Elephas maximus indicus: one gene and its partners. Each later gene encodes a partner of the first gene's protein in a complex. Links are inferred from orthologs where the notes say so. Each region holds a gene or a part of one and is shown in the gene's direction. Other genes may lie near its edges. The genes, in order: SRRM2, DHX16, BUD13 and RNF113A.

Evidence for each region.
Region 2: SRRM2 (region 1) and DHX16 share a complex: the UniProt entries of both Homo sapiens proteins name them as parts of the minor spliceosome. The link is inferred for Elephas maximus indicus from reciprocal best matches to the Homo sapiens genes SRRM2 and DHX16.
Region 3: SRRM2 (region 1) and BUD13 share a complex: the UniProt entries of both Homo sapiens proteins name them as parts of the minor spliceosome. The link is inferred for Elephas maximus indicus from reciprocal best matches to the Homo sapiens genes SRRM2 and BUD13.
Region 4: SRRM2 (region 1) and RNF113A share a complex: the UniProt entries of both Homo sapiens proteins name them as parts of the minor spliceosome. The link is inferred for Elephas maximus indicus from reciprocal best matches to the Homo sapiens genes SRRM2 and RNF113A.

The regions. Positions count from the first base shown.
Region 1 is NC_064830.1:59,942,717-59,951,014, reverse strand, and holds the start of SRRM2 (serine/arginine repetitive matrix protein 2), read left to right. Parts: upstream 1-4,867; 5' UTR 4,868-4,950; intron 4,951-8,172; 5' UTR 8,173-8,201; coding exon 8,202-8,298. UniProt on the Homo sapiens protein: Required for pre-mRNA splicing as component of the spliceosome. As a component of the minor spliceosome, involved in the splicing of U12-type introns in pre-mRNAs.
Region 2 is NC_064819.1:90,992,526-90,999,813, reverse strand, and holds the start of DHX16 (pre-mRNA-splicing factor ATP-dependent RNA helicase DHX16), read left to right. Parts: upstream 1-4,237; 5' UTR 4,238-4,424; coding exon 4,425-4,631; intron 4,632-5,845; coding exon 5,846-6,093; intron 6,094-6,190; coding exon 6,191-6,353; intron 6,354-6,364; exon of another isoform or gene 6,365-6,463; coding exon of another isoform or gene 6,464-6,490; exon of another isoform or gene 6,491-6,591; coding exon of another isoform or gene 6,592-6,656; coding exon 6,657-6,713; intron 6,714-6,863; coding exon of another isoform or gene 6,864-6,936; intron 6,937-7,288. Other genes in the region: PPP1R18 (phostensin), read left to right, coding at 558-577. UniProt on the Homo sapiens protein: Required for pre-mRNA splicing as a component of the spliceosome. Contributes to pre-mRNA splicing after spliceosome formation and prior to the first transesterification reaction.
Region 3 is NC_064835.1:9,018,528-9,026,728, reverse strand, and holds the start of BUD13 (BUD13 homolog), read left to right. Parts: upstream 1-4,758; 5' UTR 4,759-4,830; coding exon 4,831-4,973; intron 4,974-6,753; coding exon 6,754-6,847; intron 6,848-8,201. UniProt on the Homo sapiens protein: Involved in pre-mRNA splicing as component of the activated spliceosome. As a component of the minor spliceosome, involved in the splicing of U12-type introns in pre-mRNAs.
Region 4 is NC_064846.1:37,014,734-37,022,462, forward strand, and holds the start of RNF113A (E3 ubiquitin-protein ligase RNF113A), read left to right. Parts: upstream 1-4,543; 5' UTR 4,544-4,679; coding exon 4,680-5,708; 3' UTR 5,709-7,729. Other genes in the region: NDUFA1 (NADH dehydrogenase [ubiquinone] 1 alpha subcomplex subunit 1), read right to left, coding at 3,333-3,422, 4,290-4,391. UniProt on the Homo sapiens protein: Required for pre-mRNA splicing as component of the spliceosome. As a component of the minor spliceosome, involved in the splicing of U12-type introns in pre-mRNAs. E3 ubiquitin-protein ligase that catalyzes the transfer of ubiquitin onto target proteins.

The DNA.
Region 1 (8,298 bases):
CATGCCCTTCATGTTGAACCCCTTCCTAGTGCCAGGTACTGCACTAGGTGCCAGGGCACTGACCAAGACAAAGACGCAGACTTGCCCTCGAGGAGCTCATAGGCAATGGGACAGGCAAATAATCCTGACCATAGGGGAGGCAAGGTCCATGGTGGTTCAAACCCACTCTGCAGTGCCACAGAAGAAAAGCCTGGTGATCTGCTTCCTAAAGATTGCAGCCAGAAAACCCTATGTCTATTTCCCAGTTCTGTCCTCCAAAAGGTCTAGAAGCAATGACACCCATAGCAATAAATGCCCAGATCTCAGTTTCTAAATACATTCTCTAGTGACTTAGTTATCTGGTTCTGCTATAAGAGGAATACCACACGTGGTAGCTTTAACAAATGGAAATTTATTTTTGCACAGTTTAGGAGGCTAGAAGTCCATATTCAGGGCACTGGCTCTAGGGGAAGAGACTCTCTCTCTTGGCTGTGGGGGAAGGTTCTTGTCTCTTTTCAGCTGCTGTTTCTTGGTTTCTTGGTGATCTTCATATGGTGTGGCATCTATCTTCCCCCATCTCTGCTTGCTTCTCTGTGCCTGATCCGCTAGGTTTATATCTCAAAGCTGATTGGCTTAAAACACACCCTACACTGACACAGCCTCATAAACATAATAAAGAAAACCCTATTTCCAAATGGCGTTACATCTAAATTATAGGGGTTATAACTTAAAATACGCTTTGGGGGGACACAATTCAATCCATAACAACTAGATACTTAAAAAAAAATATTTTATTGTGTTTTCAGTGAAAGTTTATACAGCAAATTAGGTTCCCATTTGACAATTTCTACACAAATTGTTCAGTGACATTGGTTACATTTTCACAATGTGTCAACATTCTCTTTAATTGCTTTCCGGTCATTCCATTTCCAGTGCTCTAGTTTCCCTGCCCCCTTATCTTCTTATCTTTGCTGTACAGTAAATGTTGGCCTTTGGTCTCATATAGGTGTGTTTTTGTTTTTTAAATTGTGCTTTAGGTGAAAGTTTATACGGCAAATTAGTTTCTCATTAAACAATGCACATACTGTTTTCTGACATTGGTTGCCAACCCTGTGACGAGTCAACACTCTCCCCTTCTTGGCCTTGGGTTCCCCATTTCCATTCATCCAGCTTTCCTGTCCCCTCCTGCCTTTTCTCGTCCTTGCCCCTGGGCTGGTGTGCCATTTAGTTTCACATTATGGTTGAACTACGTGTGTTACTGTTTGTTTTATAGGCCTGTCTAATCTTTGGCTGAAGGGTGAACCTCAGGAATGACTTCAATACTGAGTTAAAAGGGTATCCGGGGGCTAGATGTGTTTTTTTAGATACTTTTATTTTTCAGTTTTACAGCAGAAAAACCTGACTGACCCCTTCTGAGCCAAATAATCAAAGCTAGCATCAGCAGTTGCCTCTTGATAGGATGCACTGAGAAGAAGGAAGCTTCACGTCTCTGCTCTTCCTGCCCAAAGTACACAACCTGAATCTAATCAGGAGGAAACATCAGACCAACGCAAACTGAGGGGCATTCTAGAAAACAAATGGCCTGTATTCTTCAAAAACTGGCAGTGTCTCGAATTACAAAAGCAGCAGCACATACTGTTCCAAATTAAAAGGAGTCTAGGGACATGGCCTCAAACACAGCAAGGACTGTGAGGGTGACACAGGACCAGGCAGTGTTTCCTTCTGTTGTACCTATGGTCGCTATGATATGAATCGGAAACGACTCCACAGCACCTAATAACAACAAGGGAGTCCCTGGATGGTACAAACAGTTAACACAGCTGCTCACTGAAAGACTGGAGGTTCAAGTCCACCCGGAGGTACCTCAAAAGGAAGGCCTGGAGATCCACTTCCAAAAAATTGGCCATTGAAAACTATGGAGCACAGTTCTACTCTTGACACGGAGTTGCTGTGAGTCGGAGTTGACATAAAGGCAACTGCTAGTGATGGTGACTGGGAGACATAACAACTAAATGCAATGCTTGCATGATCTTGGATTTTCTTTTTCTATAGCAGATGTTATTAGAACAATTGAGGACATCTCAATAAGGTCTATAGATTAGATAGTAATACTGCCTCTAGGTTATTTTCTTGATTTTGATCATTGTACTGTGGATATATAAGGGAATTCATTATTTTCTCTGTAGAGAAGGATAATAACACCTACCCCACTGTACTGTTATGAGCATTAACTGAGCTGATTCACATACAGAACCCAGCACAAAATACTCAATAAATATAGCGAATATCACTGGGAATTCCATTATAGGCAAGAGGATCTCACTGGGGATGGTGAGGGGTTAAAAAAAAAATCCACCTCCACCCTTAGAAATACCAGCTCAAGCCCAGAAAGACAAAGGTACTTGGTCATACTTACCAAGAAGTGTGTCCAGCTCACGGAAGCAACGTGCAAAGGTGCCCAAAATCAAGGAGGCAAGATTAAAACAATTCCCTGGACACTGTAAGCTGAAGTTATAGGTTGTACACCAAATGGAAAGTCTCCCTGTTCTAGTGTCAGAGATGAGTATATCTTTCTGTGGGCAAGTTAAAAAAAGAAATCTTAATAATATCAAGGGTAAGTCCTGAAACTCAAATTGACAACAGTTTATTAAGCAGCTATTATGTGCTAGGTCCTCACAATCCTCACAATTGTGAGGAAGGCACAGGACCAGGCAGTGTTTCATTCTGTGTACACAGGCTTGCTGAGTTGGAACTGACTCTAGTTGGAAAGAACTCGATGGCACCTAATAACAGTGAGCTAGGTTAGGTTCCTGGGTGGTGCAAATTATTTTTGATCAGCTGCTAACCAAAAGATTGGCGATTGGAACCCACCCAGTAGTGCCATGGAAGAAAGGCCTGGTGATCTGCTTCTATAAAGATTACAGCCAAGAAAACTCTATGGAGCAGTTGTGACACGTGCGGTTGCCATGAGTTGGGATCAAGCCCATGGGCAAAGGTTTGGGTTTTATGTGCTAGGTCCTGTTGAGGATGCAAAGACACCAGACATAACCAGGACAGCTACATATAGAGTCCAAGGTCGGCCAGCAAGTGGTGGAGTCAGATTTACACTTTGGGCTTTCTGAGAAGCTCAGCTTCTTACAACTCTGTTCTGAGGATGCCTGGCTACTTCTGAGACTCAGAAAAATGTACTTAAAAACATCATCAGGAAACATTCTGCGGCAAGATGGAAAACTTAAGGGCTCTTATATGTCTTCCTTACATTTTTGTGTGTTGCCAGGCGGAAACCCCAGGTTCTGTTGAGCATGACTTTCGTATTGGTCAATAAATGAGAGACCAAGGTGGGAAAGCAGAAAGGAACCTTTATTTCATTGTAAAATGAAAGGCATCAGTTAGAGCTGCTGCTGCCATGGCTGCTCAGCGAGGGCAAGGGGAAAGTTTACTTTCAAAGAGTTTACAAGTGAGGAGTTCATACAAGTTATGTCAGCAATTCTTAATCGTACTACGAAAGCGCAGTTCGTCACCAGGACTTTTTTTTATAATGATTCTTATTGCGCTTTAAATGAAAGTTTTCAAATCAAGTCAGTCTCTCACACAAAAACCCATATACACCTTGCTACACACTCCCAATTACTCTCCCCCAATGAGACAGTCTGCTCTCTCCCTCCACTCCCTCTTCTCTTGTCCTTTTCTCCAGCTTTTAACCCCCTCCACCCTCTCATCTCCCCTCCAGGCAGGAAATACCAACATAGTCTCAAGTGTCCACCTGATCCAAGAAGCTCACTCCTCACCAGCATCCCTCTCCAACCCACTGTCCAGTCCAATCCATGTCTGAAGAGTTGGCTTCGGGAATGGTTCCTGTCCTGGGGCAACAGAAGGTCTGGGTGCAGTGACCACCGGGGTCCTTCCAGCCTCAGTCAGACCACTAAGTCTGGTCTTATGAGAATTTGGGGTCTGCATCCCACTGCTATCCTACTCCCTCAGGGGTTCTCTGTTGTGTTCCCCGTCAGGGCAGTCATCGGTTGTAGCCGGGCACCATCTAGTTCTCCTGGTTTCAGGATGATGTAGTCGCTGGTTCATGTGGCCCTTTCCATCACCAGGATTTTTACGGGGCAGGCCAAGCAAGCTGTTTAAAGCATTTGAATTTTCTGAAGCCTGTGGACTTCTGCCTTATGTGTGTACACATTCACATATAAAACATCCCAGATTCAGTATGAGAAAATTGCATCCCTGCCTGGTCACCCTAGCTGGGAGGCAACAGAAGATTATTCCCCAGGGTCTCCTCCTGTCTGCTGGCGTCTGAGGCAGCTTCTCAAAACTGCAAAAGGTTGGGGTCTGCAGCCCATAGTTACAAGCAAGAATCAGAGTCGCTGCGCTCCGACCATCACCCCTAACATAGGAACATAAAATGGCGGCCGTGCTCCGAGGCCAAGCCACATACGGGTTCTGTGGCACGCCGGAACTACAACTCCCAGAATGCTCCCGGCCGAAGGCCGCCGGTCGCTGTGGCCCTAGGCTCTGTATTATTGCCCCCGCCCCCCAACCCTCCCAACCGTGGAAGGCCTACGGACACGTCTCCAGCCTTCCTCGCACTGGCCGATGGAACTCGCAGTTTTTCGGCCTCAAGGTTGAATCTCTCTGGGGCCTTAAGAAACTACACTTCCCAGTGGCATTTGGGCACAAGCGCACAAGGCCGTGGGGCATACTACGGTTCCCGGAGGGCCCTGCGACGCGCGCGATTGCGTGATGACGCGCTGAGCGAGTCGTGCTGACGTGCAGCGCGTGCAGCGCGGCCCAGGCGGGGTACCAGTGGCGCAGTTGGAGCCCGCTGCGGCCCGAGTAAGCGAGGAGACGTCAGCATCGGCTGAGGCGGGCAGACCAGCGAGGCGTGGCGGCGGCAGCGGCGGCTCCGGGCCTCAGGGGACTCGGGAGCTCGAGCAGCGGCAGCGGCGGGACCTCTCCCGATCAGAAAAGGCAGGCGGCGGCGGCGGCGGCGGCGGCGGCGGGTGAGAGGGTGAGGGAGCGCGTGAGCTGGGTGGGGGAGGGGCGGCCGCGGCGCGAGGCCAAAGCGCGCGGAGAACGGCCCAGGCCGCCTCGCGCACGCGCTCTCGGCACCCCCGGCTTGTGTGGACGTCTTAGCCTGCCTGCTTCCCCTCCCCCCTCCTGCGGCTCCTGTTGCGCGCGGGCTTCGACTCCCCGCTCTTCCCCCATGGTAACGGCGCGCGCCGCTGACCGCCCTCGTGCTCGCGCGCTCCGGTCGCGGCGGGCGCGCGCGCTCCTCGGTTCCTCGCCGCTGCCCGCGCGTGCGGCCCGGGAGGGCCTTGTCGGCGTTTCTGAGGTGCGGGTGGTTGGGTGGCGGAGGGCCTGACCCCAGGTCCTTGCCCCCGCCCCCGGTCTTTTTCCCCCGCTTTTCTCTCGGGTGGTAGGCTCCGCCGACCCCCCGGGAGGCCCGGGTTCATCCCACTCCTCCTAGACTGCGGGGCGCTGCGCCGCCCCCTCCCCCACCCCGGGAGGCCGAAAATAGGCCTCGGCGGCCCAGACGGCGCAGTAGGGCCTGGAAACAGTGCCTCATGAAGCACAGCGCGTGGACTGGGTACTATTTTCCATGGAGTATTTGGGGTGGGGGGCGTACTTTAGAAGAGCCCATGTATTCAGCTCAGATCTTAGATTTATAGAGTGCGCACCGCGTGGTCCTTTTTTCTCCACTTTTTTTTTTCCGTCACTTCTCCAAATTCGTGCTAAAGCGTGGGAGGCTGTCCAGTCCTTGGTTGTGGAGAAAACGCCGGAATCTGTTTGAGAGGTCTGGCGTTCTGCTTCAAGCACTGTTTGGTGCAACGTTTCTGAGTCTTTTTTTTACAGAGTCTCAGTTACTACTCACACATCTCTGTATTCTGGATCGAGAAATTTAAAAGTTTGTTCTGTGGTCTTTCCTTGTGTAATCGTGTTCTGTCGAGCCCACTCAGCCACTGTAATGCCCCAGCCCTGAGCGTGTTGTCCGTATCTTGCATTTTCTTGGGCATTCTGCCTCTCTTCTTGGTGCATTTTCTCTTCTTGAGTGCCTGTACTGAATTTTAGTTTTTTCCTCTGCCTCTTTTATTTGGCACCCCGATAATTTTCCCACAGAAAAAAATTCTCCTGTTTTTGCAGCTCGCTTTTACTTAGTGCCTGTACCTTGGGTACATTTTGCATATCCACAATTTATGGACCTAGTTATAAGAATCTGTGTTTTATAAAGTGGCGTGGTGGTTTGTATGTGTGTGGTTGATATTCCCCTTTGCATGGCTGCTTTCCTTTTAGTGTTTTGAGCGCTGCCTTGGATGCCATGGTATTGGGTTTTTCTTTTTTGGCTCCTCCCCTAAAAGTTCTGTAATTCGTTGTGCCGTAATACCCTTATCAACTTAGCAGCTGCTAGGGAGTGGGCGGATTTTTGTGTGAGGTGGTATGGAAGTGTGCCTGAATGGTTAACTGAAGAATTTCAGGTCAGAAGCATTCTCTAAGGGAGCAGCAGATTTTAGGCAGGCCATAGAGGAAAGAAGGACTTAGGTGTGGAGAGTGGGAAGGATTGGTATTTAAGAAAATAGAAATAAAGATTGGAAGGCAGAACATCTATTTTCTGTGCTGTAAAGGAAGTTTTTTTTGTTTAATCTTTTTGTGCATTTGCATTTGCTTTCCCTAGATAATGACCTCACCTGTTCCTCCTTTAACCTGGTATAGTTCCTTTTTTTCCTCCTTCATTCTTTTGGGTCTGCTGCTTGGGTTGAGTGGTCATTCTGGAATCTCCGTTCTTTTCAGCATCTTTCCTCCTTTTTTCTCTTACCACTTTAGTGCATTTTCTAGTTATTCATGTGATAATCCTTTGTTTTGAAGTTTAAGTGTAACTTTTTTTATCTGATTATTTCATTTGCTTTTCCTCACCTCTGCCTAATGTGTCTTCTTTGCCTGAGCCTTGGGTCTTTTCCTGTGATAGTTTGCCCTCACACATTTATGCTTTGTAAAACTGTCTTGGCGAGGATGGGCGAGAGAAAGGAACGAAGAGTGTAACATACAGCAGGAGACAGGAATATGTGTGGCTAAGAAATCTGAGTAGAAAAATGGGGGCCTGGCGCTCTTTAGGGTCATGCGTGGGGTGGGAGGCATAGGAGTAACAGGAGAAAGGGTAAGGTGAGGCTTATAAGAGAATAACCAGAAAGTGACATTTAGGGTATCGGTAGTGAAAGCCAAGGACGGGTTAGTATGACTGAAAGTGAAGTGTAGAGAATATTGGTGGGTTTAGGGCAAATAGGGTAGAGAAGCTGTGAGAGTAGTTTTAACAGTGACTAGTTTGATATATTTAAATAGAATTTGAATTGAAAACAGGTAGTATTTAATGGGAGCTAGAGTCGACTGGTTTTTTAGTAAGATTTGGAGAGAATTACCAATCAAATGAGAAATCTTATTGAGAAGGAAATTAAGGGAAGAAAATATCAATCAGGACAGTGGAGAGGAGCTATGAATATTTAGAATCAAGGAAGTGGCCTCTTATCTGGGAGGTGAAGTATTAGAGCATTATGTATCTAAAGTTCATGTGGTTTCTGATGTGCTTGCTGGCCTTCATTCTGAGTGAAAGGCTGTACAGGACGCTTGTTTCTCTTAACCAGTCAGGCCACTTGCTCAGATGAGTATGGGCCCTTTAGTCCATTTTGTATATGTACGGTGGCCTCAAAGCCTCAGGTTGTATCTTGGAAGAGACTTGGACTACAGGCCCTAGGATGCTACAGATCTGTGTCTGGTGTTGGTCATGCCCTATTTGGAGGCCTCAGTCAGTTACCAGAGGTTAGGAAGATGCTATTTGTGTGTATTGGAACCAAAGCAGGATGAAGGGACGACAGCGGAGAGATGTGAGAGAAGTACGATTCTTGTTGGTCTAGGGTGGAAAAAGACAAAAATGTAGGTGCAAGCAGGAATGATTCAGAATTCTGTGTAAGAACACTGGGGGAAAGCCTATGAGAGCTGGTCTGTGATTTGGTGGAATGTGAGCAGTGCGGGAAGGACGAAAAAGCGAGACCTGATTAGGAGACCAGAAGGACAATGAAGTACAGTGTGCAGCTAAAGGAGGCTAGTGCAGAGATAAATGTTGAAGGAGAGCAGAGACTTCGGTGGTGGTAAGTGGTTAGTTTGGGGCCAGGGCCTGACCCGTGTCTCCCCGCTCCCCCCCAGGAGCGGTGGTGCCCCCCGGGCACGGGGCCATGTACAACGGGATCGGGCTGCCGACGCCCCGGGGCAGCGGCACCAACGGCTACGTCCAGCGCAACCTGTCCCTGGTGCGGGGCCGCCGGGGTGAGC
Region 2 (7,288 bases), on another chromosome or scaffold:
TTTTCTCACCTCTGAAATGGGGTTAATAATAACTACCTCTGGGAATTGAGAGGATTAAATGATTTTTGTGAAGCACGCAGAACCATGGCTGGATACAAAATTATTTTATTTCACTTCTCCCGGTGTTACTGTGGAATTAAGGATTATGTGAGTGCCTGAAGGAGCCCCGGTGACGCAAATGGCTAAGCACTTGGCTGCCAACTGAAAAGTTGTCGGTTCGACCCCCTATAGCAGCTCTACCAGAGAAAGATCTGGCAATCTGCCCCGATAAAGATTATAGCATAGAAAACCTGACGAGGCAGTTCTGTTCTGTCACATGGGGTCGCTATGAGTCTAAAATGACTTGACCGCACCTAATAACATAAGAGTGCCTAGAACAGAATGCAGTACAAGGTAAATGATTGATGGTTGCTGTTACTGGTAGTAACAAGCACTCAAGACGAGGAAGAGGTTATAGGATTTGATTTCCTATATGCCAACTGCCCTTTAACTTGGGGCAAGGAGGGCAGGAGGCAAAGGCCCTCACTCATTCTCTATCATTATTGCCTCTTGTACAGATGAGTCCTGCCGGAGGTGACCCTCCCCCACACAGGGAAGATATATTGCCCTCCTTCCCAGAACTGAAGATCCTGGAGCCTAGAAGATCTTGGGCAGACAGACCCTGAAAATGAGCGTGGCAGGGAAGAACAACCAACATCCCCCAGCTTGCTTTTCTCGTCCTGTTTATGGGGGCAGAGACAACTGCTCAACTTCAACCCTAACCCAAGGTCCCTGGTGTGTCAAACGTGCTGGTGCATCTAGGTGATCCAAGAGTGAGTCCCAAGCCCTGGACAGGTGCACAGAGCCCACTGGGGGTGTGTGTGAAGATGGAGGACCCCCCATTTCCATGGGCACAGACACTGTCCCTACAGCCTTCCTTAGCTCCCCTCCCCACCAGGTACTCTCAGGATTTAAGCACTCATCTATGTCCCTGGGAGGCCTGGCCTTCACTCCGATCCCTAGATCACCACCCTTGTGTTTACAGCTCCTGCCTCCTCTCTTGACCACAGCCTGGTTTACAAACCCCACCAACTCCCAGCCCCATGCTGCCAAAACCCCACGTTTACAAGCCACGCCCACTTGCCGAGTCCACGTGGATTTCCTCTCCCCCCTCCTTCAGTTGCCTCATTGGGAGTCGCCTGGGGCGTGGCTCCTCCCACTTTTGCTCAGTATTACTGTGCCTCAGTTTTCCCCAAGAGGGAAGGCTGGGAATCTTGACTTTGTACTCCCAGATAGTTATTTAATTCTGTTCCTCCTAGTGGTTCACAATTGAATTGTAAGAGTGTGGGGTGACTAAGGAGGCACCTGCCTTTCCTTCTTTATGAATGTGGTTTTGTTTTTTAACTTTCCGTAATAAAATGGAGCTTTCTCCGACTCTCGTGTTGCTTCTCTTTCTTTAGAAAAAAAGAAAAAGTGTATGTGGAGGAAAGGCTTCGGGTTCCTCATTTCCAAGCCTCTCTCATCTTCCCATTGGCAGTGAAGAGGAAGGGGCTGTGGCTGTGGGAAGGAAGAATAATGGAGGATGAACCAGGAACTCAGCACTGAGTATAGAAGGGGCTTTAGGAGAGCCTTGCATGGGTTTCACGTGCAGGACAAGCAGATGTGAGGAAGGACAGTTGAGGTGTTCAGTAGACTAGAAGTATCATGAGGGCAGACTATGTCAGTTGGGTTCACTGTGGTGTCTCCACATCTGGCACCTAATAAGCACATAATTACTTCTAGAATGACTGAACAGATGAATTCATGAAAGGAGCTATAAAAAATAAATCTGAAGCACAGGACACTGAATTAAAGGATTGCAATATCCAGATGCTGGCTGCCATGCAAGCAACTGTAATGTGTGACACAACTCATGTGGCTACTGCAGGAGCTTTTTTTAGTCTAAGGTTTGGGGCCATCAACAGTCAGTCCTCTGAAACTGCTGCAAAATTTAGTGACTATCTACAGAAGGTCAAGTTCCTGGAAGAGGGTCTCCTCTGATAGGCAACAGATTTTATATTCTAAAGGGTTAAGAACCACCATAATTCATGGCTTTGGTACCCATAGTTGACATTAGGGGATTTTCTTATTTCAAAGAATCTATCTTCTATGTGTAACATCTGCTATAGTTTACCTATTTTTTCAGTTGCCATGAAGTTGATTCTGACTCATTGTGACTCCATGTGTGTCAGAGTAGAACAGTGCTCCATAGGTTTTTCAATGGCTGATTTTTTTTTTTTTTTCAGAAGTAGATTGCCAAATCTTCTCTTCTGAGATACCTCTGGGTGGACTTGAACCACCAACCTTTCAGTTAGCAGCCAACCACGTTAACTGCTTTATACCACGCAGGAAACATTTTACCTATGAAGTTATTTATTAGCTCTTCAGGCTAGTAAAGGCATAGTTGAGTAGTTATAGTCCTTTTACCACTACACAGGATGCCTCATCCAGTCTAACCAGAGGAGACCCCCCTTTGTTAAAAAACAAAATGTATTAGACAAATTAATCTTAAGCATATATGACAAGCAAGGTAACAAAAGAGTGAGCAGTTCAGAGAGGGTGTGGGTATGGAGGGGAACAATTCTTTTATCAGTAGCAAATTCAGTAAAGATTCTAACCAGTTGTGACCTAGAAAAGCTGGGGCAGGAAGCTCTAAGATACCAGGGGTGGTGCTCTCAGTCCACCTCTGAAACAGAAAACAAGGCATCCAAGAAGTCAATGATATGGATCCCCCTGTGCCTTTTAATGGAATAACAACGTTTCATTTTCCAACAGTAGTGTCTGATAAGTCCAATCAACCACAAGAGTATGAAGGAGGGTCAAACAGGTGAGCCAGCAGAGCTTCAGGTAACAAGTTTGCTTTCAAATAAGCAACCATCAGTGAATTACTCAAGCTATTACCAAAAGTGCAGAGTTTGCTCATTCCTTAGTTTGGATTCCCACCCCCCGCCCCAACAACTTTCTGAGCATCAAGAAAAGAGAACATCTTTGCTTTTCCCCCCAGTTCCCAAGTTTCTTCTGTCTGGAGGTCCCTCCTTATACCTAACCTGTGTTCACTCCTGCTGCAGGTACGGGTCCTAGCAAAGGTCCCTTCTCATCACTGGCTAATCTTTCAGAAGCATGGGCCTGAATTTCCTATTTGAAATATAACTCCTCTCCCCCTTACTTGCTTTATTTTTGGTTCCATAGAACTTACCTATTTTACATATTACCTATCTTGTCTGCCCGCATCCTCAAATGTAAATTCGGTAACGAATTTTTGTCTGATTTGTTCTCTGCTGTATCTTCTGCAACTAAAAAAAAAAAAAAAAACCCGCTGCAGTGGAGTGGATTCCAACTCATTGCGACCCTATAGGACAAAACAGAACTGCCCCAAAGGGTTTCCAAGGAGTGCCTGGTGGATTCGAACTGTCAACCTTTTGGTTAGCAGCCATAGCTCTTAACCACTATGGCACTAGGGTTTCCCTTCTGCAACTAGAACTACCTCAAACAAACAAACAAAACCCCACCAAATTCATGGCCGTGGAGTTGATTCTGACTCATAGCGACCCTATAGGACAGAGTAGAACTGTCCCATGGGATTTCCAAGGCTGTAAATCTCTAGGAAGCCAGCTGCCACAACTTTCTTCTGCAGAGTGGCTGGTGGGTTTGAACCGCCGATCTTTTGGTTAACTGCAGAGCACTTTAAACAATTAAAACCAGTTGCTGTGGAGTCTATTCCGACTGACACTTTAACCCCCCAAAAAAAACCACTGCCGTGGGGTCGATTCCGACTCATAGAGACCCTACAGGACAGGGTAGAGCTGCCCCACACAGCTTCCAAGGAGCGCCTGGTGGATTCGAACTGCCAAACTTTTGATTAGCAGCCATAGTACTTAACCACTAAACCCACTGCCGTCGAGTCGATTCCAACTCATAGCGACCCTATAGGACAGAGTAGAACTGCCCGATAGAGTTTCCAAGGAGCGCCTGGCGATTGGAACTGCCGACCCTTTGGCTAGCAGCCACAGCACTAGGCCACCATACTTAACCACAAATAAAAAAACTCAGTATTTGTTGAATGAATGAGTGAAGCACCCACGAGCTGACCAGCAGGGGGCGATAGCACGATTGGGTAGAGGAGGAAATGGGGGGAGGAAGTGCTTTACTCCGAGCTTCTCGTACGGTAACGCGACGCTTGAACTTGTTCGGCCACCGTAGTGCTCAGGCCGGAAAAGCGCGTCCGCTTCCGGCTTTCGGGGTCCGGGAAGACGGACTGGGTTTGTTGGAAACTGAACCCGGAGGCCGTAAGTGGGCTCCTTTGCGGAGTTTAGGGTCCGGCTCGGGGGTCCAGGCCTCTAAGCAGACTGGCCCCAGCTCGGCTCGTCCGGACGCTTCAAGGCTGGGAGTGGTGACCGTAGGTTGCCATGGCGACGCCGGCCGGGCTGGAGCGCTGGGTGCAAGACGAGCTGCACTCGGTACTGGGGCTCAGCGAGCGGCACGTAGCCCAGTTCCTGATCGGCACCGCTCAGCGCTGCGCTTCGGCCGAGGAGTTCGTGCAGCGTCTGCGAGACACCGACACCTTGGACCTCAGTGGCCCGGCCCGGGATTTCGCCCTGAGACTCTGGAACAAGGTGTCGGGAGAGGTGGAGCGCGACTGGGGCGGTGCCTGGCGTGGGAGCGGTAGGAGTAGGGGTGGAGCAGGGGAGGAGCCCTACGTAGGTCCTGGTGAGGCTGGCCTAAATGTCTGTCCCGCAGTTAAGTAACGTCAGTTCGCCAGGTGTGTATCCGTTGTCCGTTGTCACCCAGGTACTGTGCTAGGTGCTGGGCGTCCAGCTCAGTGGAGAAGATCGAGGAGAAGGCTTTAAGTATGTTACTTTTAGGCTGCGTTAAGTGCTATAGAACAGTGTGTTAAACTTGAACGTGCTTACGATTCATCTAGGCCCCTTGTTTAAAACGCAGATTCCGATTCAGGAGGTCTGGGGTGGGTCTCAGTTTCTGCAATTTCTAATATGCTCCCAGGCGATGCGGATGCTGCTGGTCCACTGACCACACTTTGAGTGGGAGGCCATAGAAGAGATTTGTGGGAAGTGCTGTGGATGGAGAAGAGGAATTAGTGACCAGAGAAGGCAGGTCCCAAGAGCCCCTAGAATTTGTCAGGTAGAGAAGGGGGAAGGAGTAGTGGTATAAATAGTGAGCTCCTGGAGCACAGGACTGTGTACTTCTTGTCTTTGTATTCCTACCACCTAAGTTCCTGCCTTGTAGAAAGAGTGAAAGTGTTCAGCATATTCAGAGAATGGCAGATAGCCTGGTGTGGCTGTGGTATATGCTGCATGGCGAGAGATGAGGTTATGTACGTGCCATGTGGACAAGACTTTCTTTTCACCAGTTTATCCTTGGAGTTTGATACAGTTCGGGGCATGTGACAAGCCTCTGCAAAACAACCCTTGTAGCTTGTCAGCCTTTTTTGTAGGAATGACCCAATCACTGGGAAGAACAAAGCCAGGAGAAAGAGGCTGAGCAATTGAGAATTGGCCTGAAAATGTAAGCTCCACAAGGGCAGGAATTTTTATCTTTTTTGTTTATTCCTTGTCTGTAGTCCCTAGAAAAGTACCTGAAACATAACAGGCTTAATAAATGTTTGCCAAATGAATGAGAGGACGTTCAAAAGTTGGAGGGTCCTATTAAGGCTAAGGAACATGATGTGAAGCCATGGGGAAGAGAGGGGGCAAAGGTTGGTTTAAGAGCGAGTAATTCCTCAAAGGGAAATTAACTTAGGCACAGGGCTAAGTAAGTGGGCAGAGGTCAGGAGTTGCTCGCACCCCATTACCTTCCCCTCTCCTGACAGGTACCACGGAAGGCAGTGGTAGAAAAGCCAGCTCGGGCAGCTGAGCGAGAGGCCCGAGCCCTGCTGGAAAAGAACCGATCTTATAAGTTGCTGGAAGACAGTGAGGATAGCAGTGAGGAGACTGTGGGTAGGGCTGGGAGCAGCCTCCAGAAGAAGCGTAAAAAACGGAAACACCTCAGGAAGAAATGCCAGGAGGACGAGGAAGAAGAGGAGGAAGTGATCTCTGAGAAAGAAAAGAGAAAGACGGGGTAAGTTAGAAGCAAGATGAGAGGGGATGGGGCAGGTGGATGATGGGACTATAAGCCCTGTGGATGCCCTTACTTAATCTCCTGGGCCGGGCTGCAGGGGGAGTAAACAGCAGACGGAGAAGCCAGAGTCAGAGGATGAATGGGAGCGGACAGAGCGCGAGCGCCTTCAGGACCTGGAGGAACGTGATGCCTTTGCTGAGCGCGTTCGGCAGCGGGACAAGGATCGGACTCGCAATGTCCTAGAGCGGTCAGACAAGAAGGTGCATAGGAGCCAGAATGTTCTGTAAATCCCCAAGAAGATCCCTGGGTCAAATCTGATGTTGGGTGTGATCCCAGAGATGGTACGAAGACAGGGATCATCTCTAGCAGTATGTTCATCTTCGGGTTCTCTGCTAAGGTACCTCCCTGCTGTACCTGCAGCCATAGAGATTCCTTACTGAGGGGATATTTCTCTGTGAGGGGGCACATCAGAATGATCCTTTGCAATTCTAAAGGGGGATGGCGATGGGTTGTCGGGGGGCTTCTTGCCCTCACAGCCCTCCCCTCTTGGTTTCTTCTCCTAGGCTTATGAAGAGGCTCAAAAGCGCCTCAAGATGGCTGAGGAAGACCGGAAAGCCATGGTGAGTCCCAGGGCCCATGAAGCCAATCAGAAGGCAAAAGGAAATACTTTCTGATGGCGAGATTAGGGGAGGGAGAAAGGATACAAAAGAAGTACAGTGGGGATGATGATGGAATGCCCAGGCCTCTGGAGGATGGTATTTGGTTGACAGGAGCCAGCTGAGCACAGAGGAACTTGGAGAAGGCCATAGGATGGAATCAAGCTGTAGAGGGAAGGAACCATGGGTGAGAGCTACCCACAAACCCTCCTTCACTCTTTACTTTAGGACCAAATCACAGTATGTATTAGGGAGATGTGAACCTTCCTTGTTCCTGGGACTTAGCGGGACTTACTCAAAAGGCAGCTGCGATGTCATCAACGGGTGGCTAGAGGGCAGGGGCAGAGCAACTGTCCCAGCTCCCCAGGGATGTCCTGACCACCATCTCCAAGTACCTTTCTACCACCTAATCCCTGCATCCCCCACATGGCTTTATGATGTCTCTGTGGCTTCCTGAGTTGGTGTTCTTACTGGACAGGGGCAGAGCCCTTTGTAATTCATGAACCAGACTTCTATGATGCAAGTCTAGGTAGGGTAGG
Region 3 (8,201 bases), on another chromosome or scaffold:
GTATGTGTGATTTCAGATAGTTTTCAATTAGAGAAAATCTCAACAAGAAAGTGATAATTTGACATTTGGCCAAAGCGGAGGAGGCAAAGGAGTAGGCCATGTGGATAGCTGGGGAAAGAGATTTCCAGGCATAGGAGATTGCAAAGGTATGAGGTTGGAGCATGCTGGAGCCAGTGGGGATATCTGAGATCATCTGGTCCTACTCTCTCAGTTACAAATGGGGAAACTCAGGTTCGGCCAGGGAGGGAGAGGGCTGTCTATAGCTGTGTTGGAAGTTAACAGCCCAGTGAGCACTCTAGCCCAGGGCTCTAGACTCCCTGGCTACTGTTCGGCCAGTGTTCTCTGACTGTAGCTTCCAGGTTCCTATTAACTCCAGGCAGTCTCACAAATGGTGATGCCCTTGGTGCTGGCTGCAGGGTAATTTGTTCATTAAAGACCTATTAGTTGATTGAGATGCTACCTCAAACCTTAAGGTTTGTGCTACAAAGACTTGCCTAGTTATGGATGGCTTGGCAATCACAACCAGTCTCACTGCTCTATTAAACTATTCCCAAAGCTTACAAGTGGTTTTCCACTTGGAAAATATTCTCACCCTTTATTCTCCACATCTGACAGTGGACCCTCTCTTCTCTCAACCTTTCCCTTGGTTCCTGTGATAGTAATGTGCCTCTGGTTTCCTTTTCACTTCGATCATGCCTTATCTGGAATCTCTGCCTCCTCCCTCTTCCTGAAATGTATTTGTTTCTAAAGGTTCTGTTTTCAGAAACCTGCCTGTATTGGATTCTTTGGCATTTATTACTTCCATGTAGGACTGACCCCCATGCCTGAATACAAGGTTTTTTTTTTTTTTTTTTTTTTTATGAATTTGGAGACTAAGGTTAGCGAATGACTCGCTCTTGCAACTATAAACTATAATACCTTGATGAGATTTCTCACGTGCAAGTATTCTACTTTAAGAGACTGCCTGTAGATGTGTTTTCAGCTGACCAGGGAACCTGACTTTACCAGACACCGTTTGGGTCTATCATCTGGTGAATGCCCTGTGGCGCGGGTGGATGTGCTCTGTGAAGACGAGCCCCAGTGTCAGCTTCATCTTCCACTGTGAAGGGAAAACAAATGGCATTCTGGTTTGTCAGTCTTCTGAGTTTGGTTGGCATGAGGCAGTCCCCCAGTTACTGGGAAATGATATCCTGCAAGACATGACCAGGTTCCAGACTGGGATAACCCAGCTAAGGTACTCCTTGCTCTTTGATAGGACAAAGGCCTGGCATCTTTCATTTTCACACTTTTAAAGTGTCCCTGAACTCTTTCAGTCACGTTTCATACAGCCTGCCCGAGATGGAAGCCTACATCTGCTTAACTTTGTCTTGCCCCACATTCCCTAGCATATGGCATACAGATGATCTGTCATAATCCTTGGCTGATGTTTGTGAATCCTTCATCCTGGATCCAGCCCTTTGGGCACATGGAGGTAACAAGGGCTCTGCTCTAAGGCCAGGGGAGGTGAGAGAGTCAAGCTGCCGGCCTAAGAACGTGGAGATTTAATTTCACAACCATGAGAGTAAAACTTACATGGGAAGTTTTGTGATTATATTAAAAAAAAGAAGAGTTTATTTTGAGGGCATTCTATCTACTTTACCATATTTCATACATGTTAAATACAGCTATATTTTATATTTGGTCATCAGACCTGTGAACATACAGGTAGGTCCTGAATGTGTACCTGTGTCGTCGTAATGGAGTAAGTGGTGGAGATGTGGTGAGTGCTGGGAATTAGTATGAAGGGCAATGACCTCGCTAACTGAAAGCTTCACTGGTGGGGTGAGGAAGACTTCTGTTGTTACGACACTGTCAGTATGTTTCTGTCTTCATACACCCGTGGTATGTCAGCTGCCTATTGCACATTGCAGGGAATACCATGTCTGCTTATATTTAGGGCAGTGGTGTTTAAGACTGCTTGACTTCATTCTTTGTTGTTATAGTAAAATACACAACAAAATATACCATTTTAACCATTTTTAAGTGTACAATTCAGTGGCATTAAGAACATTCACTGTTTCCAGAACCTTTTCATCACCCCAAATGGAAATGTTATACTCATTAAACGGTAACTCCTGATTCCTCCCTCCCCCAGTACCTGGCAACCACAGTTCCTGACTCTATGAATTTATTGGCTGCTTCTTATTTTTTAAAAAATCTGCACACTTCTCCCCACCCTTTACAGAAAAATGGCAGCATTTTTAACCATAAAAGAACGAGGCAGTGCTACTTAGTCTGCATATTTACTTTAGAGTTTAGAAAGTCCACTAGTATGGGCACCTCTGCTGCTTTGGTTTCCTGGTCTGTAAAATGGGGATAAAAATAATGGTACCTTTTTTTGTAGGGGCTTTTGGGAATTAGCTGAGTTAATAATTGTGAAGTGCCTTTTATTTGTATTTTCTCTCATCAATCCTTAAAAAATTCTGAAGTGTCTCCATTTTTGCTTTAAGTCCTTTTTGGGAAATAGCTATAAATAAACAAAATTATCCCCACTTTACAGGTGAGGAAACAGCTTCAGAGAGCTTAGATAACTTCCAAAATGAAGTATAGTTAAGAGGCAGGCTTCAAATCCAGGCCAATCTGACTGTGCAACTTGAGCTCTCAATATTTTGAGCTCATGTCCATAAAAATAATAATAATAATAATAATTATTATTGCCTTATTCAATGCAACTGTAGAGAGAGGGCAAAGCTCAGACCATGCCACCAGACATGCATTTTCTTGGTCCTGCCTAATTGCCCTGTGAAGCAGACAGGGTTGGGATCCATTGAGGTTGGGTCTTGTCAAGCCAAGGTTGAGGATTGGGTAGAATGGGTAGGGACAGAACTGAAGAAGCCAGAAATGGTCAGGAGATGGGTTGGCAGGGCCCAGAAGGGCATACTGGTAATATCGACTAGATTGGAAATGTGAGCCTTTCCAAATGCCTGTTGTCATCAAGGTGGAGGCAGTTTGAGACTAACAAATTGGACTTTAAGCCAAGGCAGCATTGCATATGGGGGACCTGTAGAAACCTCTAGCTAGTGATGCCCTAGTTTCTCAATGTCTCCTCATAACCCCTCAGGGACCCAGCCTGCTTTCTTTTCTGGGCTGGTGTGGCAGCCACTCAGATTATAGCCCAGTGCTTAGAAGTTCATTCTTCAGAGCAGTGGTCTTCAAGAAATACGAGAATGCTCTTTAGATGCAAGGATGGCACAACTTTGGCTTGCTTGCTTTGGACATATCATCAGGAAAGATCAATCACTACAAAAGGACATCATGTTTGGTAAATAAGGGAAACCTTAATGAGATGGATTGACGATAGTTGAAACAATGGACTCAAGTCAATGTTCACGAAGATGGCGCAGGACTGGGCAATGTTTTGTCTGTTATACCTAAGGTCACCACGAGTCAGAGTTGACTCGGCAACTAACAACAACATAAACGAGTTTTTGAGCATGTATCGCAGTGTATGTGTATTTAGTTATAAAGTATGACAATGCCTACTTGACTAAAACCGACAAAATTTACCTTATAAAAAGAAAATATCCAGTCTAATATTTTATTTCAAAAAGTTTGGATCACGTTTTTTACTGCACTTCCCTAACCTCTGCTCCCAAGAGTCCTGTGGCTTGAGCTTGAATCCTGTCTTTGCCACCTTTTTGCTGTGTGATAACGGGCAACTTCCCTTATCTTCTCCAAGCTTCCATCTCCTCATCTGTAAAATAAGGATGATAAACCGAGAATAGTTGTGAGGGTTTAAATGAGATAATTCAAGTACTCTTGTCTTCTCCCCCCAAGACTTGAGTATTAGAATTTGATCTCACAGGCTTTACTCTTTGGCTGTGCTGAAAGCAGGTCCAGGTCTTTTTTCAATGGAAAGATTTACACAATTTCCTTCAAGAGGTAGATAGGTGCAACCAATGAAACTGGATGTGCAGAAGTTACACAGATTTTAGAAACCTCCGTATTTTTCACAGGAATTATACTGGGTCTAGGAGTTCCTGGGTGGCACAAACAGTTCAATGCTAGGCTGCTTGTGGAAAGATTGGCAGTTTGGACCCACCCAGAGGCATCTCGGAAGACAGCCCTGGCAATCTGGCTGCTTTCAGCTTTGAAAACCCTATGGAGCAGTTCTACTCTGCTACACGTGGGGTCACCATGAGTTGGAAGCGGCCTGACTAACAACATACTGGGTCTGAAGTTCTTGATCTCCCCTCTTGAATGTACCTGGAAGCTTGTTAAACTTCTCCCCACCTAAAGATACTTACACTGCTAATAAAAATAACTATCGGTAACTGCGCCAGACACTGTTCTAAGCACGTTACACAGTAACGTCATCTCAGATCTCGCAATCATCCTGATTAAGTACTATTATTGTCCCCATTTTGTTAAATAACTTGCCCAGGTTTTACAACTAGGAAGTTACGGAGCCAGGATTCAAACTTAAATACCCTGTAACTCCACAGCCTATGCTAACCACTACGTATATGGTGCTTTGAAGCTGCTGGAGGCAGATATCTCGTTGGGTCGTGATTGTAGCCTCAAGGCTAGAACGGCGCTTACTGCAAAGTTTGGTGAATGAACGGATGGACACACAATAAGGTAACGTCCTCACAAGTACGCACAACGGGCCCTAGACGTGCCTGCACTTCCGGTTGGTCCACGAACGCGTCACCCGGGAGGTCTCCCCGCCGGTGCTCCGACGCTCCGCCAGTTCCGGGTCTGGCCACGCCCCTCCCGTCACTGCCGTCCGTTCCGCGTTCCCTAAGTTTGACCCCAGGGGCGAGCCGTCTCCCCGCCCGCGCCGCTGCCATGGCGGCAGCTCCGCCGCTCTCCAAGGCCGAGTATCTGAAGCGGTACTTGTCTGGGGCAGATGCCGGCGTCGACGGGGGCCCCGAGTCCGGTCGCAAGCGTCGCAAAAAGCGGGCGAAGCCCGGAGGGGCCGGCGGCAAGGGGTGAGTGGGTACCGCGGGGGCGGGCCTGTGGCGGCCCTCAGCCTTGGTCTCTGCGCCGCCGGCCGGGGCTCTGCCTGCTCTCCTCGCCGGCCTGGGTCCTCCGCTCCGCCCGCTCGTCCGCCCGCTGCCTAAGCTCAGGGCGCGCGACTCGGGGCGCCGGGGCCTGGGCCCGCTGTGGCTGCCCGCCTTTACCCTTCGCGCTGCTGAGCAGCGTCTTCGGTTGTTTAAACTGGGCTGTGACTTCCATGACTCTTTTCCCGCTTTGGTAGCCTTCCGACCCCTCCGGAGTTAATGAATATCGTGCTCTGAGAATGGGGGTGGAGCTAATTCAGTGCCTTGGTGCTCGGATTTAGGGTCCTGAACTTGCCCGTGGGGTTCTCAAAAGTCCCAAAGGCTTCGTGATCCTGAGTCGGAGAGCCCTGGTCACTACTGCTGCTAATGCCCCCAACAGCGACTGGCACGTACACACTTCTTGCCGTATGTCAGGCACCGTTCTAGGTACTTTACACATACATGAACTTAAGCTTCACAACACTACCACGGAGTCGTTATTGTTATTATCACAGTTTTACAAACAAGGAAACTTTTGTAGCCCAGCGGTGTCAAAGGGTTCCAAGGAACTAATCTATTGCCTTTCCTGGTTTGATTCTGTTTTTTTTTGCTTTCTGTGTTTTTGGGTCCCTTTCTCTCGGGTGGATTCTTTGGAGGCAGTGCGATGTAGTGAAATAGCTTAGCTTTGGGGCAACATTGTTCAGAGTTTGAATTTTACCTCTGCCACTTTATAGGCTGTGTGGCCTTGGGCAAGATATTTAATCTCTCTGAATCTCAGTTTTCCCATCTTGAAAATGAGAATAATAGTAAATAATACTGCTTGTATTAAATGGTTTTTGTGATTTAAAAAAATCAGCTGCCACGGAGTTGATTCCTATTCATTGCAAGCCCATGTGTCATAGTAGGACTGTGCTCTCTAAGGTTTTCAGTGGCTGATTTTTCAGAAGCAGATCACCAGGCCTTTCTTCCAAGGCACATCTGGGTAGACTCTGGCCACTCAGACTTCCAGCCTTTTGTTAACAGCTGAGCACATTAACTGTTAGTACCTCCCAGGTACTATGTTGTTGTGATTAGAGATGATTTATAAAATATCCCTGACTTTTCAAATAATAGCTATTCATGTGATGGCAGTTAATGTTATTTCCTGTCATCTATAGTTCATCCCTGTAACACACACTTATTGAATACGTCACATGCCAGTTACTGCAGGGTGTCGACAAGGCCTCTATGAACAAGAAAGACGTAGTGCCTGTTCTGATGGAGCTTACAGTTTATTGGAGATACAGGCCTTAAACAACTGTTTACACAATAAATTGATTCCTTTGTGGTAAATGCAGTGAAAGTATTCTGAGTGTGTGTAACGGGGGTTCTTAGACTTAGGGGAGAGGACCAATCAAGGAGGGTATGCCTAAGGGAGTTAAATTTATGTTGGGACCTGAAGAATGAGTAAGAGGTTTCTGGTAAAGAATGAGGAGAAGAGCAGGTCAGGCAGAGGGAACTGGTATGTGAAAGTTGATGTGGTAAGAAATTTGCCTCGTTTCAGGTGCTCGTGAGGTAGTGAACTGAGAGGGCAGCAGTATAAGATGACGTTGACCACCTAGGCAAAGGCCGGATCACGCAGGAATGTGTAGGATTTTGAACTTTATTCCTAAAACCAGATGGATAAGTGCTCTTAGGCTGTTATCCAAGAATGATTTTTCTTCTTTTATCTTTTGTTTTTCACATTTAGAATGCGGATTGTGGATGATGATGTGAGTTGGACAGCTATCTCCACCACTAAACCAGAGAAGGAGGAAGAGGAAGATGATGGAGATTTGCCTGTGGTATATATCTTTTGGGGCTGTCGGAACTTGGAAATGATGTAAACCTCCCAGTCTGTACTCCCAGTGCAGGACAGATTTGTATGAGGGAAATTTGAGGGCAGAGAAGAGATGCCATTTTCCAAAGAGCTGTTTAAAATAGTCTTCTTTGACATATGCCTCTACACTGACTTCTCTGTTTATCCAGGGACCCATTAGCCTAGAAATGGGAACCAGTCACAGAGCAAGGCAGGACTTCCTCAGCATCAGTGATAGAACAATAACTAGAATTAGCAACAGTTCAGTTTGTGGGAATCCAGCTTCTGAACAATGTTCGAGTTCAGTTATAGAGAACTTTTTATTTGCACCCATGAGTCAGAAACGACTTGACAGCAACTAACAATAGCAGCAACATTCATTGATTTAACTAAGCTTTAAAATTGTATAAACTTGCCTAAGTACTGGAGATATGTAGATTAATGGAATATAGTATCTGTACTTTAGAGAGCATACCCTAGAAGGGGAGACTGATTTTTTTTTTATTGTGGTGAAAATACGTACAAAAAACATTGGCCAGTTCAACAGTTTATACAGGCATAATTCAGTGACGTTGACTCTTTTTGTTATACAACCCTCATCACTATCTTTTTCCGAATTATTTTACCACCATAAAGATAAGCTTAGTGCCCTTAAGCAAAAATTCCCCCTTTTCCTCTCCCTTCCACCTTTGGTAACCACTAATTTTGGTTTCTATATATATGCTTATTTCATGTTAGTGAGATCATACAGTATTTGTCCTTTTGTTGCTGACTTATTTTGCTCAGCCTAATGTTTTCAAGGTTTATCCATTATTGTGATGTGTATTAGGACTTTATTTCTTTTTATGGCTGAGTAATATTCCATTGTATGTGTGTACCACATCTTGTTTATCCATTCCTCTGTTGGTGGACAGTCCGATTGTTTTCACTTTTTGGCTCTTGTGAAAAGTGCTGCAGTGCACATTGGTGTACAGGTTTCTGTTTGTGTTCTGTTTTCTTTTGGGTATATACATGGGATTGAGATTACTGGGTCATATGGTAGTTCTATGTTAAACCTTTTGAGGAACCATCAAACTGTTTTGCACAGTGGCTGTACCATTTTATATTCCCCCCCCAGCAATGGATGTGGGTTCCAGTTTGAGAGACTGAATTTTAAATAATTTCAACGTGTGGTGAATGTAGGAGATAAATTTCACATACCCACCAAGTGGCACACTTAGTGTTAGTTGGAAGAGTTCGTGAAATCAGTAAATATGTGAACTGAGTTTTGAAGGATGAATAGATCCAGATGGACAAAAACCTGGACAAATAAGCTCGCATTGGCTAAATTCACAGAAATC
Region 4 (7,729 bases), on another chromosome or scaffold:
CTGCTTGTAAAAAATCAGCCAGTGAAAACGCTATGGAATGCAGCTCTACTCTGACACACGTGGGGTCGCTACGAGTCAGAATCAACTCCACAGCAACCAGTGTTTTTGTTTTAGGTTTTCTTCACTTAATTACGCAAAAATTAAGATGGATAATATCTAATGTTGGTGAGGATGTGAGGAAGCAGGTATTCTCATATTTGGTTGCTGGAAGTAGAATTTGATACAATCCTTCTGAACGGCAAGTTGGCAGTATCATCAGCATTCAAAAGGCACTTCATTTTGTCCAACCATTCCACTCCTAGGAATCAGTCCTACAAAAATACCCATACACTTATTCCACGCACTGCCCTGGGTCCCCAGTCAGGCAGGCCTCCCACTCCGCAAGGGTCGTCTCCTTTCTGGATACTGTCACATGCCCAGCTCTGTACTCCTCAGGTAAAGAAAGGTTCCTGCCTGATACCAGACTGCTCAGAGGAAAATCAGAAAATAAAACCTATAGGCAAATATCAATGAATCACAGATTATTCCGCCTAGAGAAGAGAAGGCTAAGGAAGAACTCCAGAGCAGCATGGCTGCAGATGTTCTTCAGTTCCACGGAGGACCAAACAAGTGAGGAAGGCAGTGATGGTGGGTAAACGCTTAACAACTGGCTCTCCCGGGGAAAAAAAATGTGCCTACGTGTGTGTATTTGTTATAAATGTTACTGAAATAAAGGATGTATAGGATACAGCATACAAATACTAAGAGATAATATTCTCCATTTTAAGTCCCATGTAGCTAACTGATTTTCACAGAATGCTTTCCTTGGTTTTTGCCAAACTTTTCTATCTGTTGCTAACTCATGATTGCAATCCATCTATGAATTGACAAGTGCAGTTGTATTCCAAGCTGCTCTTTTCCCAATTAACTCACTGTCATTAAAAAAAAAAAGAATGTGCCTAAAGAAGGCATGTGCTAGAATTTTTGCTGCAACATTATTTGATCAAAAAATAAAATAAAAAAGGAACTACCCCGAGTATTCTTCCACCAGTGGAAGAATAAGCTGATTACCTGTGGGACTTCTGCATCAGATACCTAGGAGGCACAACTTCTGTCAGGGACAAAAAGGCACCATCATTTCTCTTCGTGATCAGCTACAGTCGATGTTAAATATCATTTGAGATGATTCTTTAGGATACGGTGTTTTACACCACAGTAAAAAGAACATAGACTAGCCATTTCTCAACCTTGGCACTACTGACATTTTAGACCAAATGGTTCTCTGTTGTGGGTGCCTAGCCTACGCATTATAGGGATGTTTCACAGCATCTCTGGTCTCCACCCATTAGATGCCAGTAGCACCCCCCCCAAGTTGTATGAAAAACATCTCCAGACATTGCCAAATGTCACCTTGCAGGCAAAATCGCCGCTGGTTGAGAACCACTGATATAGACCTATATGTACCAATGAGGGAAGATCTCATCTCCAAGATGTCCTATTAGATAATACTAAAAGAATAATATGCACAGGATGATCCCATTTTTAAAAAACTGTATGTATAGATAACATGCATAGGTACAGGAATACACAGGGAAAAAAAGCCTAGAATAATACACAACAAAATGAAAATAATGCTACCTCAGGAGAAAGGAGAAGGATTGCATGGGTAGCTATGCATGTTGGGGTGGGGGAGAAAAGGGGCCTTTGTTTTTTACTGTTTGTATTCTCAAAATTTTTATACAATGCATTCATAAATTACTTACGTAATTTTACAAAAAGAAGTTAAATGAACTCGGACAAGTACTCTGTAGACAGTAGGGCACTAAACAAATCTAAGCTCTCATATCAGTTGACTAAAGAGATTTAGACAGGTGCTTGATTGTACTTGGCTCATGATTTCATCCACAGACAAGCACCTATGATGCATGAATTCTGTTAGGGATTAAAGCAACACTATCATTTCTCCTTACGATCAACTACAAAAAAATAAATAATTTTCTATGTTAAATACAATGTTAGGTGATTCTTTAGGATAAGGTACTTCTTCCACTGTAATTTAGAAAGTACTATCAATTTTTTTATCAATTAGTCTTTATTTCTATTCAAAAATCTCAAGAAGCAACGCGAGGCTCAGCTAATGTAAAATTAAAGTGACTTGACCATCAAGTCCAAAACTCCAGACTGAAACAACTCACCAAATTCCATCTTCTCCCCTCTCTATCAGCACTACATCTTCACTTTTATTCCCCACAGTATCTTAGGGCTTATTTCCTTCACTTCCATCTTAAGCCTATTGCAACTTTGTGTTTTGGCTTGGTTTTTATACACATACCCTTTGATCTAGTGTAAAACACATTTGCCCAGATATCAATCTGCATTTCCCCCAGATTATGGCTTCTAATCAGACTTTTATATTTCCATAAAAGATACTATGGTTGGATTTTGGGGGTGCCAACAGTTTTGTACTCTAGATATTCAAATGGAAAGAAACTGCTGTCAACTTGTAACAGTAAAATGACGGTAAACGTACTGTTTCAAGGAATTTCAGAGTACAGTATTTACAGATTTTAAGACCTACATTACATTATCTAAGTATCAATGAATTCGAGTCCATAATTTCCAATGCCCCTAAGCCAAATAAACCTTAAAAAAAAAAAAAAGACAACTCAGAAGTTAACCAGAAGAGAAGGAAACATTTATTAAGCTTATAATGCTGAGTTCCTCACACAGGGAACAAATACTGTCATACCACAAAAACTCTATCAGGTAGTGTTTAACAGTTTTGTCATACAACTGAGGCAACAGAGGGTTAGAGAGACCAAAAAGACCTAAGTAGGGCAGAAATTCAAATCCAAGTTTGTCCAACTCTAAAGCTGGAGTATTTCCCACTTGGATACACAAACTAGTCCTCTTAATTGATCCTCTTTTCTTTCACTAATATATACCACGGTCACTTGAATTATATTTTTAAAATCAAATTTACAATGTTTAAAAATGTACAGATTTATACAAAAGAACAGTCATCAAAAACTCACCCACAAATCTTTTTTTAAAAATATTGACTAACCACTCTGTTGGTCAATTGCTCCCCGTCTCCTGGATTACATAAGCCAGTAAAATCTCAAAAACAATTTGGGAACTGACAACAGCATTACCAGTTTTTTATTCTGACAAATGAGGCAATGAAAAAACTAACTACAAACTGGACAAGTAGTACAGTGTAGGGACTAAGGACATGGGCTGTGGCTCAAATCTCAGCTCCCACCATTTCCTTACCAGCTTATGACCCAGGGGGAGGTATTACCAGAACCCACCTCAACCCTGACATGTGGTTGGCATCATGGTCATCTTACCTTTGATACGTAGGAAGAATCCACCCCAGAGACCCGCCTATCTCTTTGCATCAAATGCCACTGATATGGAAAATGGGCAACCCTTTTCTCCTACAAATAAAAAACAATTATTATTGCACTGTATAAAGATGGATGACCCAATTGCTGAATATCAGAACTTTAAAAAAGCATCATTGTAGAAAAAAAGGAACAATCACTGAAATAGAAACCAAATTAACAAGACCAGAATCTCCTAAATAAAAATCAGACCACTAAACTTTACAATTAAAATGGTCAACATGACTTCTTACACCTTTCTATTTTAACCAGCCTCACTTTCTTTATTTCTGTCCCCCTTTTTTTGGAGGATAGTTTACTTGTTATCTTTTAGGACACCAGAGAACAAAAACAATAGTGGTGGGTAACACGTGAAGGGCAATCAAAACCCAGAACATAATTTTATACCATTACTGTATTCTAGGGATGATGTGAACGGCTAGGAAGAGGGAAAAATTAAAACCTGATGAGAAAAATAGGGTCTTGGGGTAAATTCCTAAAGGCTTGCAAGAGAAAATAGGGAATTAAGAAAATGTCAACGGAATAACCTAATTAAGAGCAGAGAAACGTGGATACGAGAAATTAAAATCAAACCCGAGCAAGAAAAAATACTGATTAGAGGTCGAGGGGAGTAGAGACAAGACTAATCTTTCTCTTGCTTTGGACCCACCTCTTCTCATCTCCTAATCCCTACTCTGCCTTTTTGCCCACTCTCCTCAGAACAGCAACTAGCTGTTTCTTGCTAGAATAGGATGCGGTTTCCGTCGGACTTCATTCCGCAAGCATCCATTTTCAGTCATCACTAAAAAAAGAGGTGGGCGGACCTTGGTATCCCCCACCTGAGAGAGAAGCACCGGAGCCTAAGGGCCTCCCTGACCCGCCAGTGCAGTGTCGACCCCAAGACTGGGGGAGCTGTCTTACCTTTTTCCTGGCACTGAACCTGTGGATGTACGCAGTGGTCACTCCGGGGATTAACAAACACGCCGCCATGACAGCGATGCCAGGGAGAATCTCGAACCACATCTTGGCAGAACCTCCTTCTAGATCACTTAAAGGTGACCCGGCTTCGGCTTCCTTCCCGGTAAGCTCCGCGGCGCTCCACGAGTGCGGTGCGTCACGCCTTCTCCGGAGGAAGCGACGGGGTCCGGTAGGGCTCAAGAGTGCGCGATCACGCCCTCGCGCTCAAGGGTTTTAGCAGTGTTTTCTGTGGCGTCTTCCTCCGGCCCACAGGAGAGCGCAGGTCGTGCGGTGACTTGACGGGGCCCGCGCTTTCCCACACGCCGGAGCCGTTTGGGAGCTCAGTACTCCAAAATGGCAGAGCAACTTTCTCCAGGAAAGACGGGAGACCAGGTGTGCACCTTCCTCTTCAAAAAGCCGGGACGAAAAGGTGCTACAGGCCGCAGAAAGCGCCCTGTCTGCAACCGAGATCCCGGAGAAAGCAGCAGCAGCAGCAGTGAAGAAGGCAGCACTGTGGTTCGCCCGGAAAAGAAGAGAACGATCCACAATCCGATGGTACAGAAGACGCGTAGCAGCGGTAAACAAAAGGTGGCTTACGGCGACTTGAGTAGCGAGGAGGAGAATGAGCCCGAGAGTGTTGGCGTGGTCTACAAGTCCACCCGCTCAGCGAAACCCGTGGGGCCAGAGGATATGGGTGCAACCGCTGTCTATGAGCTAGACACAGAGAAAGAGCGTGACGCACAAGCCATCTTTGAGCGCAGCCAGAAGATCCAGGAGGAGCTGAGGGGCAAGGAAGATGACAAGATCTATCGGGGAATCAACAATTATCAGAAATACATGAAGCCCAAGGATACGTCTATGGGCAATGCCTCCTCGGGGATGGTCAGGAAGGGCCCCATCCGAGCTCCCGAGCATCTACGTGCCACGGTGCGCTGGGATTACCAGCCCGACATTTGTAAGGACTACAAAGAGACTGGCTTCTGCGGCTTCGGAGATAGCTGCAAGTTCCTCCATGATCGTTCAGATTACAAGCATGGGTGGCAGATCGAACGTGAGCTCGATGAGGGTCGCTATGGTGTCTATGAGGATGAAAACTATGAAGTGGGAAGCGATGACGAGGAAATACCATTCAAGTGTTTCATCTGTCGCCAGACCTTCCAAAACCCAGTCGTCACCAAGTGCAGGCATTATTTCTGCGAGAGCTGTGCACTGCAGCACTTCCGCACCACCCCACGTTGCTATGTCTGTGACCAGCAGACCAATGGCGTCTTCAATCCAGCGAAAGAAGTGATTGCCAAACTGGAGAGGAATCGAGCTGCTGGAGAGGGTGGTGCTTCCGATTTCCCAGAAGACCCCAATGAGGATCCAATTCCCATTATTTAAGTGTCTCATAATTCTCAGATCTCAGAATAAATGTTTTGTTGTTTTGGAAATCTTGTGTCCTGACTTTCTAGGGAAGGTGACTGAGAGGAAAAGGCAGGTAGTGAAGTAGGGTCCTAAATGACTTAAAGCGTCAAGGTAGGTACAACCTGGATTTTTAGTCCTGGGATAAACACTTTACTTGTGTGTAGCATATACTTTTCAGAACTCTTTGGCATAAATTATGGGGATGGGATTTTGAAGTTTGAGAAAAGAGCTAGAACTTGTTTGAAGTAACCAAGGCTGTGATGGGAGCAAGAACTGGACCTATTTATTGTATCATATTTCTGTATCACTTAATAGTTTGCTAAGTATGTTCACATACCTTTGTTGGGAGCCCTGAGGGCCTGTACTCATACTGACTTCAAAATGCACCAGAGCCAACATATGTGATTGGGGGGTGGCAGGAAGAATGGGGTTGGGGGACTGGTAGCTAGCACCACAGGGTGCATGTATGGTAAGTGGTCCTTGTTCTTTCTGAAGCATCTATAGGTAACTCCCCCACTCTTTCACAGATGATAGAAATAGTCTATGCTGTGCTGTCCAATATGATAGCCACTAGCCACATGTGGCTCTTGAGCACTTGAAATGTGGCTCATGGCCAAGTACTGGATATCACAGTTCTAGATTGAACTTGTGAACCTGCAGAAGGCAAAAACCTAATATTTTATAACTCATTATCTGAAATTATCCATGTTCTCAGAGACTATAACAGAGCTGGTCACGTCCCAATATAGTTAGTCTATGTACTCTTCACAACTACTTTGTGAACTCCTTCAGTGACTAGCCCAGTGCTTATTAAAATAAGCTCAGAGAGGTTTGAAAAGGGAGACTGGGAACAAAGCCTTGAATGCCAAGGTAAAGAGCTTCGACTGTATTTCTGTAGATAATGGGGAAACAGAGGATTGGGGACGGGAATACAGACTTTTTAAAAATATTTATTGTGGTTGCAAGCAGAGCCCTGGTGGTGCAGTGGTTAAAAGCTCAGATGCTAACCAAAAAGGTCAGCAGTTCGAATCTACCAGCTGCTCCTTGAAAACCCTATGGAGCAGTTCTACTCTGTCCTATTGGGTAGCTATGAGTCGAAATCGACTTGATGGCAATGAGTATGGGTGGCTGCAAGCTATAGGATGGATTGCAGGAAGATGGAAGACAAGCAAGAAGGCCAGTTAGGCCAAATCATTAGCACATGGTTATCGATCTAACTAGAACTTGGGTATCCCAGGAAACATGCAAGAATACGTTGTGGGGTAGAGTGTCTTTTATTCACATTCATTAATCCATTTAAAGATATTCTTTGAGCAGCTGCTGTGCCAAGAACTGTGCTTGGCATAGGGGATATTAGCAGCTTCTGCCCTCATGAAGCTGGACATTAAACAATGACAAGTGTGATGAGTATCACAAAAGAGTGCACTGGGCTGATGTCCCAGGATTAACCCAATCCCTATTTTAGAGGACTTCAGAAACAAACTCACTTGAGACAGTGTGACACATTCTATAAGAATATACAAAGTAAGATGGGAATACCTGAGAAATTGCCTACTGGGAAAAGTGTTTAAGAAAGCCTCATAGGCGGCAGTGGTAGTTCAATGGCAGAATTCTTGCCTTCCACGTGGGAGACCTGTGTTCGATTCCCAGCCAATGCACCTCATGTACGGCTACCACCTGTCTGTCAGTGAAGGCTTGTGTGTTGCTATGATGCTGAACAGGTGTCAGCGGAGCTTCTAGACTTAAGAGAGACTAGGAAGAAAGGCCTGGCAATCTACTGAAAACCAGCCAATGAAAACCCTATGGATCCAGAGCTGATTATTGTAATTGCTGTCAATAAGCTGTATACCTGTAAAAAGTTGAATTGTGAAAAGCTGTGTCATATTTACAATGACAAAAAAAGAGTAGCTGTGAGACTGTTCATGTACAACCAAAAACTTCATGGGATTTGGTTCCTTGGTGTAGGGTCATGGTTTCATGGGACATCCCAGTTAATT